2 linked regions of the Macaca fascicularis genome follow. The protein of the gene in region 2 purifies or fractionates together with the protein of the main gene of each other region. This does not show direct contact. Links are inferred from orthologs where the notes say so. Each region holds a gene or a part of one and is shown on either strand. Other genes may lie near its edges.

Region 1 (7,410 bases), on a different chromosome or scaffold from region 2:
GGCGGATCACTTGAGGCCAGGAGTTTGAGACAGTCTGGCCAACGTGGTGAAACCCTATCTCTACTAAAAATACAAAAATTATTTGTATTTTTGTGATGGTGGACGCCTGTAGTCCCAGCTACTTGAGAGGCTGAGAATCACTGGAACCCAGGAGGTGGAGGTTGCAGTGAGATTGTGCCACTGAACTCCAGTCCAGGCAACAGAGCAGGAAAATGAAAAAAGGGAAAGGTTTTCCTAAACTTATTAGCAAGAGACCAGGTTTGTGGAGAACCAGGCTCCTGGAACGCAGGAGGCAACAGTTTGGATGTCCCGGGAGCAGCAGGTGGAGCATCCAGGGAATCCAGAAACCCACAGCAGGCAGGCTGCCAGGCATCTCCAGAAAAGGGACCAGAAAGCCTTTTGTTCAAGAAAGGATTCCAGTCTAGAGGGCTGGTGAGCTACCGAGAGCTAAAGGCTCCCTTGCTGTGTCTGGTGAAAGGAGGACAAGAAACATGGTAGGAGCTCTTGGGAAAGGGCTTGGTTTCTCTGAAGTCAAGAAACACAAAGAGAAAGAGGCTCCAACGTCTAAGCAAGGCCCAGGGGATCAAGCAGAGCTTCCTAGAGCTGATGAAAGGGCTGGGGTGGGGTTCTGAGGCCCAGTGAGGTGACACTGGCCCCTGGGAGGGGCCAGTGCAGGCAAGGATTCCAGCAGAACTGACAGGGCAGAAGTCCCAAGTTCTTGGCCAAGCCTCTGGTTCGAATGGTGGGTTGTGGATGAGGTCGGGGAGGATGTCAGAGGAGGCGCTGGCACTGACGTGGCTGCCCAGGGGTAAGCCCAGAAGCTATGGGAGTCTGGAGAGGGTGAGAGGAAGAGGTGCAGGGCTGAGTGTGACAGCACCACCCCTTATCCGCTCTAGCTCTGTCCATCCAGATGTGAGCTCTGGGGCAGGGGCTTACCTCCTCTAGGCTTCCTTTTCCTCAACTGTGAAATGGGGTGACAATGGAAAGACCTCAGAGTTACTGTGAAGGTATTTAGTTTTAACCCCCAGTAACAGCCTGAAGAATGGCTCCTGCCTTAAAGAGAGAGAACAGGATGGCTTTTTACTAAAATGTGCCAGGATAGGGCACATCTCTACCCTATCTACCCTTCCAGATACTGCCTCTACCATACCCAGTCCTCAGACAGATGCTGCTCTCCTCTTTGAGAAACAGAATTAAGGCACAGAGAGGCAGAACCTGCCCATTACTATCACTTGTGCATTCATTCATTCAACAGACATTTATTAAGCATCTATAATGTGCCAGGCCCTGGGGACACAGAGCTGGAGAATGTACAGTCCCTGCCCTCAAGGAGCTCACAGTCTGGGGGACAGACATGTAAACACATGAGTTACAACGCGCTGCGTGAAGTGTGTGGCAGAGGTATAACAAAGTGCTGTGGGGCACAACAGAGCGACCAATGAACTTTTCCTGGGCAGGGGTCAGGGAAGCCTTCAGTCAATAAATACAGTGCCATGGGAGTGCCTTGTGCACCACGGGCACTCACATCTCAAATGCTGGTCCACTGGAGGCCCTTGGGCTGGGCGGGAGCAAGGCCTACTTCTGCTTCCTCAAGACAACTTCCCCACCTCTGTCCTGGGACCACCTGCCCGCCTGGGCCTGCAGTGACCGAGGACACTGCTCCCACTCCAGGGGCCAGTGACAGAGAGCAGCTATACAGAGGGCCCACCCCGTGGGATCCTTGACAGGAGCTGAGACAGAACAAACTGCTGCGTGTCTCCCTACCCTGGGGGTTGTGATATTCCTGGTAACATCTCTGAGCTGGTCTGTGAGGTCACTTCCTCTCTTAACACTGTTGAGGAGACTCCAAACCCTCTGTCTTTTGCTTGTCTTCTCATGTCGATTGGGCACCGGCCATTCTCAGGCACCAGGGCACAGCCCACACGGGTGCCCCATCAGACAGGGCTGCTCACAGCAGCCTCCTACACCTGAACTGGGTTTCTCTGCACACTCACAGCCGTCTCACCAGCTCAATGAGCTGCTGGATGTTTTTGTTTTGGTTCGACAGGCCGTTCCTGATGTTTTCGAGTAGGCATCTCTTCAATTCAAATATGGCTTCACTGTAGGCCAAGCTCACTGCGGCCATGGGAGGTGCTCCGTGCCACAGGCCAGGGATGTGCCAGATGTGCTGCTTCTCAGGGTCACAGAAGGCCAGGCCTGCCAGTGCCCGGAAGCCGTCGCTCTGTTTCTCCATCTGGGCTGCAGCCCTGCTCAGGTCACCAGGTGGATCTAGGAGCTGTCTCTTGTCTCTTGGCCTGGGGCCGGGAACAGATACATCATGAAGGTTCTGGTATACAAACTGGTAGTTGGGCATGTGCCCCGTTTTTTCTAACCTCAGAAATGCATGCAGAATAGCTGCTGGAATGTCCTTGGTTTCAGCTAGGCTGATCACGGTGACATTGCTCAGTCCCATGAGCAGAGTGGCCAAGGAAGCCTCCAGCTCAAACCTGTCCCCAGCTGAGGTCAAGGCCCCACCTATCAAGCCCCCAGAGTCTATCACCAGGATGTGGTCACAGCCCAGGTCCTGGCTGAAGCCCTCGGCCACTGTGATGAGCTGCATGAAGGCCCCTCGAGGACTGCAGCTCTTCCCTGTGGCAAACCGCAGCCCAAACATGGTGTTGAGGAGTGTGGACTTGCCCGTGCCCGGCACCCCGAGGGCTGACAGAACCACCAGCCTTGACCGTCTCTCCAGTCGGACGTGCAGCTCCTTCAGGAGCCCCGTGACCCAGCGGACGGGCATGCTCAGGGTGCTCCCATCGATTAGCTCCAGAGGCAGCCCTGTCAGCAGCAGCTCCGAGGCCAAGCCTGGGAAGTGGGCAAAACGCCTCTGGCCTGCTGGCAGCCTCCCCGCCTCCACAAGACAGCTCTCGGCCTCATAAAACTGTCCCATCTCCCGCAGGAAGTGTTCCACCCCCAGGGGCTCAGGCCAGAGCAGCTCCCCCAAGTCTGTGGCGCCCCCATGCTTTGGTCTCAGGGTGAGAAGTGTCTCCGGAGGCTGTCTCAGTCGTGGCTGGGCCACCCGTGCCAGGCCCCACTCCATCCACCTCAGGAAGTACTGCTTCTCACTCAAGGAGGGGCTGCTGATCCCCGAGATGAACTCCTGCACCCCCGAGGAGGGATCGTGGCTGTTCTGCTGCATTCGAAGTTCTAGCAGCCGCCGCCTCAGCTCAGCCCTGTGCTTCTCAGGGGGGTCCACGGCCCACTGGAGCTGGCAGAACTCCTTCTCCACTTGGGCTGCCTTTCTCCAGGGGTCCCCCTGCAGCCTCAGCTCATCCCTTCTGTAGGCATCCGAGTCTTTGATTTTCCTGGTAATCCTCTCCATCCGGTCTTTCGCTTTCTGACACTCCTCACAGTCCTCGTCAACCTTTAGGCCGAGCTTGCGGGCTGCGTGCGCCATGTCCTCCACAGATACCCGCCTGCAGGGTGCCCGCAGCACATTCCCAACAATGGCCCGGATCCTCTTCACGAAGCTGTCGCTGTCAGTGCTGCTGACCTTCACCAGGACATGTGAGTGGTCTATTTTCAGCACAGGAATTAACTTATTCAGAAATCTCAGGTTTGTGTTGCGCTTCCCACGGTACGGACTCAGGATGAAGTAGTATTTTGTGGTTGACTCCTTCATGGAGTACAGCAATTTGTATTCCTTCTTACTGATATTGTCAGTCAATATAAACACAGCGGAGGAGATTTCTGTCAAGAGCTTAAACTGCAGCCAGTGAGACCCGATGTCACCTCTCAGGTTCAGAAAGGTCACAGGTTCTGGAAAAATGTCCAAGTCCTCCCTTCCGCTGGGAAAAAACCAGGAAATTTCTACCAACCCATCCGAAATCTCCCGGGCATTGGTGCCCAAGTTGAGGTCCCGATGCCAGAAGCAGTCCCACTGCCTGTGGCCCGGGCTGAGGACGGCGTTGAGAAGCTGGGACTTGGAGTTGCTACTGACATCCATGCGCACAAAGGCGAAGGCGGGCGCCCTGGACAGGACCACGCTGTCTTCCCGGAAGCTCCCCACGCCCCTTGGGGGCTGGGACCACCATGTCCTCACAATGCCCCGCATGGCCCACAGCAGAAATGTATGGTAGTGGTTCTCCGAGTCAGGCAACACGAGTGGGAGTGCAAACTGGCAGAGGGCCATTTTCAACACTATTTCTTGTTGCAGGAAACTGTCTGAGGAGATCAGCAGGGCACAGAGAAGGTCTAAGGGGTTCACTGGCGTATCAGGGGTAGGCAGCTCAGAAAAGGAATAAATGTCGGCAGCAAGGTCATCAGCTGGGTCCCAGTAGATGATCTCCTCTTCCATCTGGCTCTCCTTCTCCACAGGCCTGGCATCTGGGAGCACGTCCAGCACCATGGTGGTATTCCTGGCATCAGCATTGAGGGCCTGCAGCTTCCTGAGGAAATTCCAGGGCAAGTCTTTGGGAACCTGAGGGGCCCAGTTCTTCATACTGTCAAAACTGATCTGCAGAGAGTCCTGAAGGCTGAGTTTCTGGACCTGGTACATCTCTAGGCCCAACAGTGACAGCATTTCTTGAAGCCTGCTTCTCTCCACTGTGGAAAGAAATGAAGACATAAGTGCTCACCCTGTGTTTCTGAGCTAAGGGCCAGGCAAGAGCTGGTGAGGGAGAGCCCAGCAGGATGGGGAGAGTGATGACCCCCTTCAGAGAGCAGAGTGCAGGCACAGGAGGCTCAGGGTGTGCTCAAGGCTGACCTGAGACCAAGGCAGGGCTGGAACCTGACATCAAGGTACAATAGGTACCAACCTAACCACAGATATATGTAACATTAAACAAAAGAAAGAACAGAAATAGAGAAGCTACATTTAACAATTGGAAGAGTTCTTGCAAAAGCCAGATTTCTGGTCTTTCTAGAAACCTGTAAGATCTAACATTGAGCTCCAAATTAATTGGCTACAGTGAGCAGCATATGACTCCTAGAAGCTGAATGCAGGCCTCATCTCCCACTGTGTCGTTTCTGTGACTCAGAGTCACTGGGAAGTTCCCACAGGAGTCATAATCACTGAATCACTCTCTGGCTTTCTAGTTAATGCTTTTTTGTTTGTTTCTTTTGTTTTGTTTTTCTCTCTACAAATAAGAGAATATTTTAAAGGAACTAGAAAGAAATCACTAAGCATAAAGAGTCAGCAATCATAGCTAAACAACCATTTTGCAAACCTGAAATCAATAATGCAGGTTTTCTTTTTTTTTTCCCCCTTTCTTTTTTTTTAGACAGGGTCTTACCCTGTTACCCAGGCTGTAGTGCAGTGGCATGATTTCAGTTCACTGTAGCCTCAACCTCCTGGGCTCAAGAGCTCCTCCCACCTCTGCCTCCCAAGTAGCTGGGACTATAGGTGTGTGCCACCACACCCAGCTCATCCTTGTATTTTTTTGTAGAGATGGGTTTTTGCCATGTTGCCCAGGCTGGTCTCAAACCCAAACTCAAGCAATCCACCTCTCAAAGTGCTGGGATTATAGGTGTGAGCCATGGTGCCTGGCTTTAATGCAGTTTTTAATTTTAAATGTATTAAAATATTCAGTGCAGACTGTTAGTAAGTGAGTACTTATTTGCAGATACTCAAACATCACCCTATACAATATAAAATCTTATAAGCTAGATGCTTGGAATAGTATTGCTACCTCTGAAGGTTCCACCCACCATCCCAGGTCTTGGCCCAGCACCTTCCTAAAGTTCATGCTGCATATAATTAGTTCTCTTAAAATTTGTTGTTGTGGGCCAGGCGCAGTGGCTCATGCCTGTAATGCCAGCACTTTGGGAGGCCGAGGCGGGCAGATCACGAGGTCAGGAGATCGAGACCATCCTGGCTAACACGGTGAAACTCCATCTCTACTAAAAACACAAAAAAAATTAGCCGGGCGTGGTGGCGGGCACCTGTAGTCCCAGCTACTTGGGAGACTCAGGCAGGAGAATGGCATGAACCCGGGAGGCAGATATTGCAGTGAGCTGAGATCGTGCCACTGCACTCCAGCAGCCTGGGCAACAGAGCAAGGCTCCATCTCAAAAAAAAAAAAAAATTGTTGTTGTTGTTGTCTGAGACAGTGTCTCACTCTGTCACCCAGGCTGGAATGCAGTGGTGTGATCACAGCTCACTGCAGCTTAGACCTCCCAGGCTCAAGTGATCCACCCATCTCAGCTTCTGAGCAGCTGGGACTACAGGTGCACTAGACGCTTGGCTAGTTTTTGTATGTTTTGTAGAGATGGGATTTTGCCATGTTGCTCAGGCTGGTCTTGAACTCTCTGGCTCAAGTGATCTGCCTGCCTCAGTCTACCAAAATGCTGGGATTACAGGAGTGAGCCACCCCGCTGAGTCACTTTAAATGTTAATGCATGAAACAAATACAAATTCCACTGCCCTGCAGCCTTTTTTCCAGTTCCTTTCTCAAGAGAGAAAATGACGTGTGTGATGCTGCTTTAGATTTTTAGATAAACATGAAAGGAAACACTGGGTGACCCAGCCCTCTGCCTGTTTCCCAAGAAGGTTAAGTGATGGATTCAAGACCACCTCCCATTCAACCAGCAGGACTCATAGTGCTGGACACTCTGCTCAGAGAGTTCCACAGGCAGTGCAGCCACAGGACTGCCCCACAGAACATTAGGCGACCTATGAACTTGTTACAAAAACAAAAGAACTACATGGGAAGAATCACACTGTGGCAGAATAGGTGTTACTCAGCTTTCCTAGCTCTGCCTGAATGAAACTAGGAACACTGTTTTTCTTGTCCAGACATGGAACAACTTTTTATTTTTTAAGTAGCAAGGTGGTAAAAGGCAATGGGGAAAAGACAGAGAAAACACTCCTGCCTAGTGTGTGGCCCTTGGCAGGTTGTTTAGAAGCTCTGGGCCCAGGATCCTGACCAGCAAATGAAGGCGTTGGACCAGATAAATGGTTTCCAAACAGGGCTGTACATTAGAATCACTTCAGGAACTTGTTAAAAAATGAAACATCTCTGGGTTGCACTTCCAAACATGCTAACTTATTACAGGCAGTGAGTATGTTGGGTGGTGGGGGGACCTGGTTACTCTATGTGGTTAGCAAGTTTCCCCGGGTGTCTTTCATTCTTTTTTTTTTTTTTTTTTTTTTTAGCAATATTGTCAACAATGTATAAAGGGTTAATTAAGTAGGGCATCCTACACCTGAGTGCTCTGCCTCCCCAGGTGATTTGATACAGTCAGGTGTGGGAATTGCCAGCCTAGATGATAACCCCCTTTCATAGAACAGAGAGAGAAGGCAGAGAAAATGCTTACCTGTTGGAAAATCATTGTCCTGAGCCTCATTTGTACCATCTATGGAAAAAGCAATGGAAAATGAAGTGTCAATCAAATAATGCACCCTTGGCTGACACAAATTAATTGAAGCTA
Region 2 (7,410 bases):
ATAATTTCAACTGTCTCAAAGTCAAAGGAGAGCAATTATGCTAAAAATCCTTTAAAATTACCTCTAAAGGCTTCCATTTGTTTCTGAATACCTGTATGCATACAAAAGTCAAACATCAAATCCACATATTCTTCTGCATTATCCATTGTTATCATCTGCAAAAGAAAATCTGTCAGTATCTAGAAATATTTCAGGAGTGTCTAGTACAACTGGCTTTGCTAAGAGGATATTTCAGAACTTTTTTTTACCTCATCTTCACCACTTGGCTTGAGATCCACAGCTGTGAAACCATATATTCTTGAGGAAGGGCAAAACTGGAAATTTAAACTGGGAGGACAAAAAAGATTAAATTAACTGACATGCAGCTACTACTAAGGGTGTTTAATTTTTATAACATGACTATCATCTGCCATCAGTGGGTACAAGAGAAAAAATTAAATAAATATAATAACATGGCTATCAAAACCATAATTCCCAGCCCCTCCTCCTCCAACAAAATCAGTACACCAGCTTAGAAGAAGTCGAGGCCTTTTTAAATGCAATATTCTATGGACAAAATCTACTAGGCCAGCTGTTACCATATCTGTCTGGCTTTGCGAAGATTGCATGAAACCACCTTTCTATATTTTACTTCTAACTTATGGCACAAAATTAATTAACTAAAAATTTTGCAATTAATTATGATGACAACGTTTATAAGTCTTTTAGGAAGAAACTGTTGCTTCACTGAAGTCAATCATGCTATGTACAAAAATATGCATTAAAAAAAAAACCTTGACTATATAACCATTTATCAAACACAGCTTACCAACATTATCAGCGAACATTAAAAAAAAAAAAAAAAAAAAAAAAAAAGGCCTTGCAGTTAACCTAAAACCACAGCTGAAGATATGATAATTACCTGTACATAAAGTAACAGAGTTTTATCAAAAGATCTGCAGCATCTCAGCTACTACAGCCATTGGTGATAAAGCTGACATACCAACCAATTTTTGAGCTTTGCAAAGTGGGCCATATATTAGCAGATGAATTTGTCAAAATATTGTTGACTCTAGACATTTTACACAGGCATATAAATTCACATTGGCTAAGTCAAGTAATCTTCTAAAGGTCTGATGATTAATAAACTAATATTCTAGTATTCTGAGTGTTGTCTTTATAATATTAAATCAAGGTTCAAGTCGATCATCAGTATTTCCTACAGCATATTACTGTTTTTGACAGACTGTTTTCTCATATATTGCAAATCAGTGAGGACAAAGAAACAAAAGCTTTAGAACTTATTCATCCATTGGATTGAAGAATGTACATATAATGCTTACCCTAAATCCTCTATGCTAAGTGGAGGCCCAGAACCTGATGGATTCTTCAGCACTAGTTCCTGTAATTTTGTGTTCTTCTCATCTTCAGAAAGACCTTTGTTGCTTAAAATTTGGCGCCTCTTGATAGCAAGGTCTTTAATTTCTTTTAAAAATCTGGCTCTGTGTGGGTTTACTAATTCAAAGTCTTCCCAAGTCAAAATTCCATTAAACCAAGCCGGGGGTTTTGGTTTAGGGGGATCAAGAATAAATTCTGATTTTGAATCCTCTTCAAAGCTTCCTACTGAGAGTGAATCATGACCTTCTTCTGTAGAAGCTTCAGACTGACTTTCAGTACAGTGTAAGTCTCTATCACCTCGTGACTCATAAATCAGTTTACTCATATTGCTTTTAATGTCACCCATACACATAAGTTTAAAAAAAGGTTTAGAAATAGGTAAGTCCACAAGTCTATTGTCTTGAATGCATTTGGCCAAGAAAATTCCAAGGAAATGAAACAGTTTCGTGATCCTTTCAAGCTCATCACTATCCTGTGGAAATGGTGCCGTGAACAGTCCACATGACCTCTGCACATAATATCCAGGAGGTTTCAATCCACCTCCAAGATCAACCTAATTTTTTAGAGGGTGAAATGCAAATAAAATTAAACAAAAGGTAATAGAAACTAAGCCTATCATCATCTAAGAAAAAAATCCATAAACTAAACATCTTCATGAATTTGGCTATCTAAAAGTATGTAATTTTATTAAATAGCTTTTGGTGACTAAATTTTATCGCTTTAGAAATATTTTAGTTGTATCAAGATTATTCAATAATAAAAGTAGAGTCAGAAACCTGGCTTATGTTCTGAACACATAACCTATTTTTAACACTTTTGAAAACAGAGTCACAACTCAAGTCACAAAATAAGAAATATTCTTACGTGACGAGATTCATCATCTGGAAAATTATCATCACAAAGCCAAGCTCCCAAGTCAGTTCTCTGGAATTCCGCTGCCACCAGAGCATAAAACTCTAATGTGGGTCCCAAGCCAGTTCCTTCTTCTCCTAAAAACTCAACCTAAAATATGAACAAATAAATTGTGGGTTAAAATAAAGTTTGGGGTATTTTTAAAATAATCTAATTCTTGCCAAAATTTATCATATCTGATCCAGTAATATACCTTTTTTCAAAATAGCAGTGTATATATTATAAACAGCATAGGAGTGTTATTGTAATTTTTCTGAAGAGTCCACCTGTACACTATTACATGCTTAAGCACTGTGCCAAGCATCATTCACACATTTACTTCTCACGACAACCCTGCAAAATAATTATCTCCTTTTTACACCAAAGGAAACCAAATCTCACATAAGGAGGTGAAATAATTTGCTTGAAGAAATGATGGTGTACAGATTTTTGTGTGTGTCTGTGTGACACCAAAGCCTAAACTCTTCCACTTTTTTACTTTTCTTGAGACACAGTTTCACTCTTATTGCCCAGAATGGAGTACAATGACACAATCTCAGCTCACTGCAACCTCTGCCTCCCAGGTTCAGGCAATTTTCCTACCTCAGCCTCCCAAGTAGCTGGGATTACGGCATGCACCACCATGCCTGGCTAATTTTGTATTTTCAGTAGAGACAGTTTTACTGTGTTGGTCCGACTGGTTTCAAACTCTTGACCTCAGGTGATACACCCACCTCGGCCTCCCAAAGTGCTGGGATTACAGGCATGAGCCACTGCGCCTGGCCTCTTCTGCTTATTTCTGAGTTAAAGACGCTTTAAATCATTTTTGCAACAGGAAAAGCATGGACAAAAACCTTTAAAGTGATTGCATAAAGTATCATAAAAACTATAGCATATGGTTAAAAAAAAAGATTATCTAAATTAGAAGAATGTAAGCAGCTGGGCATGGTGGCTCACGCCTGTAATCCCAGCACTTTGGGAGGCCGAAGCAGGTGGATCACTTGAGCCCAGGAGTTTGAGACCAGCCTGGGCAACACAGTGAGAACTTGTCTCTATTAAAAAAAAAAAAAGGAAGAAGAAGAAGAAGAAGAATGTAAGGGTAGGAGGAATAACACAATGAAAGTCTGTATATAAAGTGAAAGACGTAAAGCTTTGGACATCTTCTAGAGATGTATCATATTTCTTGCAATTAGTTTATGATCCAAAAGTTAAAAACAAACCAATTGGTTTCACCCCTGTGACAGGAGAGGTATTTCCACTCTTCCTCATATGGGGAATACTGTGTATACGAAATATAACCAACAATGTCCACAGTAACATTTCTAAACTAAATATATTAAATTTCATACTGCCATTTGCTATAACATCTCTCAACACAGACCAGTGATATAATACCAAGCACAATTTAAGTGAAACAATATTACAAAACCAAGTGCTCCCAAAATATCCAACAGTGCAGTTTAATATAAGGGTCAAAAAGAATCCCTTGTGAGTACTATTATTTTAGTCCAACTTTGTTATGAAATACGTAGAAGCCCTGAGGCAGAACAAGCACTTTGCCGCCTCAAGAGTGGAGATCTTCTTTGTTGCTCATTAATGGCGCAAGACCTAACCCCTAAGGAGGTGGACTGACATCCTCTTATGAAAAAGATGCTCTGCCAGAGAAGGCTTCTGCTGACAGAATAGGAAAATCCCTCTTCATGTTTACCTACCACAGTTTTTAATGCAGTGAAGACACATTGGGCTGGTTCCCTAAGTGTCATTCCTGTTCCCTAAATCTAATTTTATGAGATTACCTCAAGAACTGATTTCCGATCTGCATGTATTTGCATGACATTCTCAGCCCATTCCATCAGTGATTCGCCACGTGGAACCTTTACTCTTTCATGCTTGAGACGACCAACTCTAAACTCTCCAGGGTCATCTCGCCTAACACTGCTTGTGGTTCTCGTTCGTTCCACAGTGGCTTCACGTCGGTTTTGTAACCACACTATTGCTCTGAAATAGAAAAATATCTATGAGCTGCAGCATATATTAACAGCTGAATGTACTACTAAACCAGCAACAGAATTCAAAGATTTAAGAAATTAAAAAATAGTATTTTATCAGGTGATTTTTAAAACACAGTAATCTTTTTTGTTACATAAATTGCTTCCTTTCACAAGTAAAAATATATGAAACTCCTTTTATTATAATCTGCCTTAAGCAAACTGAGAAAGTACTGGGTCTGTGTTTTCCCTCCTTATTTTAGCAGTTCAATAAAAATAAAAATCTGTTGTCCAGCCCCCAACATCATTCAAAAAAAGGACAAATGTTTCCTATCGGAGAAATTTAAAAATGATTAAGCTATCTTTCAGACTGAAAGCTGTCAGGCCTCTGAGCCCAAGCTAAGCCATCATATCCCCAGTGACCTGTACATATACATCCAGATGGCCTGAATCAACTGAAGATCCACAAAAAAAGTGAAAATAACCTTAACTGATGACATTCCACCATTGTGATTTGTTTCTACCCCACCCTAACTGATCAGCGTACTTTGTAATCTACCCCACCCTTAGGAAGGTTCTTTATAATCTCCCCCACCCTGAAGAAGGTTCTTTGTAATTCTCCCCACCCTCGAGAATGTACTTTGTGAGATCCGCCCCATGCCCCCAAAACATTGCTCTGAACTCCACCGCCTGTCCCCAAACCTGTAAGAACCAATGATAATCCCACCACCCTTTGCTGACTCTTTTCGGACTCAGCCTGCCTGCACTCAGGTGAAATGAACAGCCATGCTGCTCACACAAAGTCTGTTTGATGGTCTCTTCACATGGACACATGAGACAAAGGCCACCATCAATTATAATTTTAAAACAATTTTTCTTTTCTGTTTTTTTGAGATGGAGTCTTGCTCTGTCACCCAGGCTGGAGTACAGTGGCATGATCTCAGCTCACTGCAACCTCCCTATCCCAGGTTCAAGTGATTCTCCTGCCTCAGCCTCCCCAGTAGCTGGGATTACAGGTACGTGCCACCATGCCTGGCTAATTTTTGTATTTTTAGTAGAGACGGGTTCTGCCATGTTGCCCAGGCTGGTCTTGAACTCCTGGCCTCAACTGATCCACCCGCCTCGGCCTCCCAAAGTGCTGGAATTACAGGCATGAGCCGCCACACCCGGCCACATTTTCTTTGTTTTAATAACAATCCATTTATGGTGGGAGGAAGAACCAATAATTAGGAATAAGAAGCTGAAGGTTCTATTCTCATGTGTGCTACTATTTTTTCATGATCTTAGGCAAATTAACTAAGTACGTGCAGAATCAATTTCCTCATTTATAAAACAGAAATTATTATCAATGCCAGTTATCACAACATGCCTATAGTTCTATGTATATAAATGCTTTGTAAATGGCATTAAATGGTACAAAAATGTAACTATCAAGGAAGAAACACAGTTTAAATTATAACTTTTTTAACAATTATTTTGAAAGAGTACTTAAACAATCATTCAACAAAATATTTATTGAGCACCTACAGTGAGTGAGTCTTGCTCTGTCGCCCAGGCTGGAGTGCAGTGGTGCAATCTTGGCTAACTACAACCTCTCCCTCCCGGGTTCAAGCAGTTCTTATGCCTCAGCCTCCTAAAAAGCTGGAATTATGCCCAGCTAATTTTTGTGGGTTTTTTTGTAGAGATGGGGTTTCGCCATGTTGTCCAGGCTGGTCTCGAAATCCTGGCCTCCAGTGATGTGTCTGCCTTGGCTTACCAAAGTGCTGGGATTATAGGCATGGGCCACTGTGCCCAGCCTGGAAACAGAAACTTTTTAAATGTTTTCTTTTTTTTTGGTAAATCATTTCTTCCATGATTATTCAGAGGGACTATCTTCAAACCAGTACAAATATTTCGTAAATAATATCAGACCATTTTCTAACCAATTGAGTAATTTGTTGCACAATAAGCCATCGCACATCTTTCAGCAAGAAATACATTAAATTTGAATAGTAAAGACACTACACAATTAGGCTTAGGACACAATTATAGTTTGCCTTAAATATTTCTTTGGGGGAGAGGACACCACACTTCTACTCAATGAAGAGAAACATTTTTACAGTCCAGAGGTCTTTTATTTTTTATTTTTTTGAGACGGAGTCTTGCTACATTGCCCAGGCTGGAGTGCAGTGGCGTGATCTCGGCTCACTGCAAGCTCCGCCTCCCAGGTTCACACCATTCTCCTGCCTCAGCCTCCCAAGAAGCTGGGACTACAGGCGCCCGCCACCACGCCTGACTAATTTTTATTTTTAGTGGAGACAGGGTTTCACTGCGTTAGCCAGGATGGTCTCAATCGCCTGACCTCGTGATCTGCCTTCCTCAGCCTCCCAAAGTGCTGGGATTACAAGCGTGAGCCACCGCACCTAGCTATTTTTTTTTAAACATTATGCATGAATTCACAGAGAAGAGGTTCCAGCAGCTCAGGCTCCTTTCCCTTGGTTTTCACACAGTGTGCTTCTCGGGGTGAAACAGGCTGGCACTTCAGGTAAATGCAGGTACCTTTCTCTTTGGCTTCCTTTTTTTTCTGATCATTTTCCTTCATGCATTTCAGGAAGCTATCTCGGCTCTTAGAGTGCTTAATGTGCTTAATATGCACATTAATTCTCTTGGTAAGAATCTTGCCCTTGTTTGTTTACAACAATGAATGCAACTGTAATCCCAGCCACTCAGGGGGGCTGCAGCAGGAGAATTACTTGAACCCGGGAGGCGGAGGCTGCAGTGAGCCAAGATCATGCCAATGCACCCCAGCCTGGGCAACAAAGCGAGACAAAAAACAAAAACAAAAAAACAATGCCAACAGCATACTGGGTAACACTGTAGACTCTTCCCATTTAGCGACAGTAACACTTGTGGGGCATTCCTTTTTTTTTTTTTTTTTTTTTGAGACGGAGTCTCGCTCTGTCGCCCAGGCTGGAGTGCAGTGGCCGCATCTCAGCTCACTGCAAGCTCCGCCTCCCGGGTCTACGCCATTCTCCTGCCTCAGCCTCCCGAGTAGCTGGGACTACAGGCGCCCGCCACCTCACCCGGCTAGTTTTTTGTATTTTTTAGTAGAGACGGGGTTTCACCGTATTAGCCAGGCTGGTCTCGATCTCCTGACCTTGTGATCCGCCCGTCT

Evidence for each region.
Region 1: the proteins of HECTD1 (region 2) and URGCP purify together in Homo sapiens (affinity purification with mass spectrometry; 4 studies listed by BioGRID and IntAct, with this or other methods). This does not show direct contact. The link is inferred for Macaca fascicularis from reciprocal best matches to the Homo sapiens genes HECTD1 and URGCP.

Annotation. Positions count from the first base shown.
Region 1 is NC_088377.1:86,377,900-86,385,309, reverse strand, and holds the end of URGCP (up-regulator of cell proliferation), read right to left. Parts: intron 7,336-7,410; coding exon 7,297-7,335; intron 4,585-7,296; coding exon 1,991-4,584; 3' UTR 1,244-1,990; downstream 1-1,243. UniProt on the Homo sapiens protein: May be involved in cell cycle progression through the regulation of cyclin D1 expression. May participate in the development of hepatocellular carcinoma (HCC) by promoting hepatocellular growth and survival.
Region 2 is NC_088381.1:98,927,049-98,934,458, forward strand, and holds part of HECTD1 (E3 ubiquitin-protein ligase HECTD1), read right to left. Parts: intron 4,267-7,410; coding exon 4,065-4,266; intron 2,380-4,064; coding exon 2,242-2,379; intron 1,931-2,241; coding exon 1,323-1,930; intron 328-1,322; coding exon 249-327; intron 156-248; coding exon 62-155; intron 1-61. UniProt on the Homo sapiens protein: E3 ubiquitin-protein ligase which accepts ubiquitin from an E2 ubiquitin-conjugating enzyme in the form of a thioester and then directly transfers the ubiquitin to targeted substrates.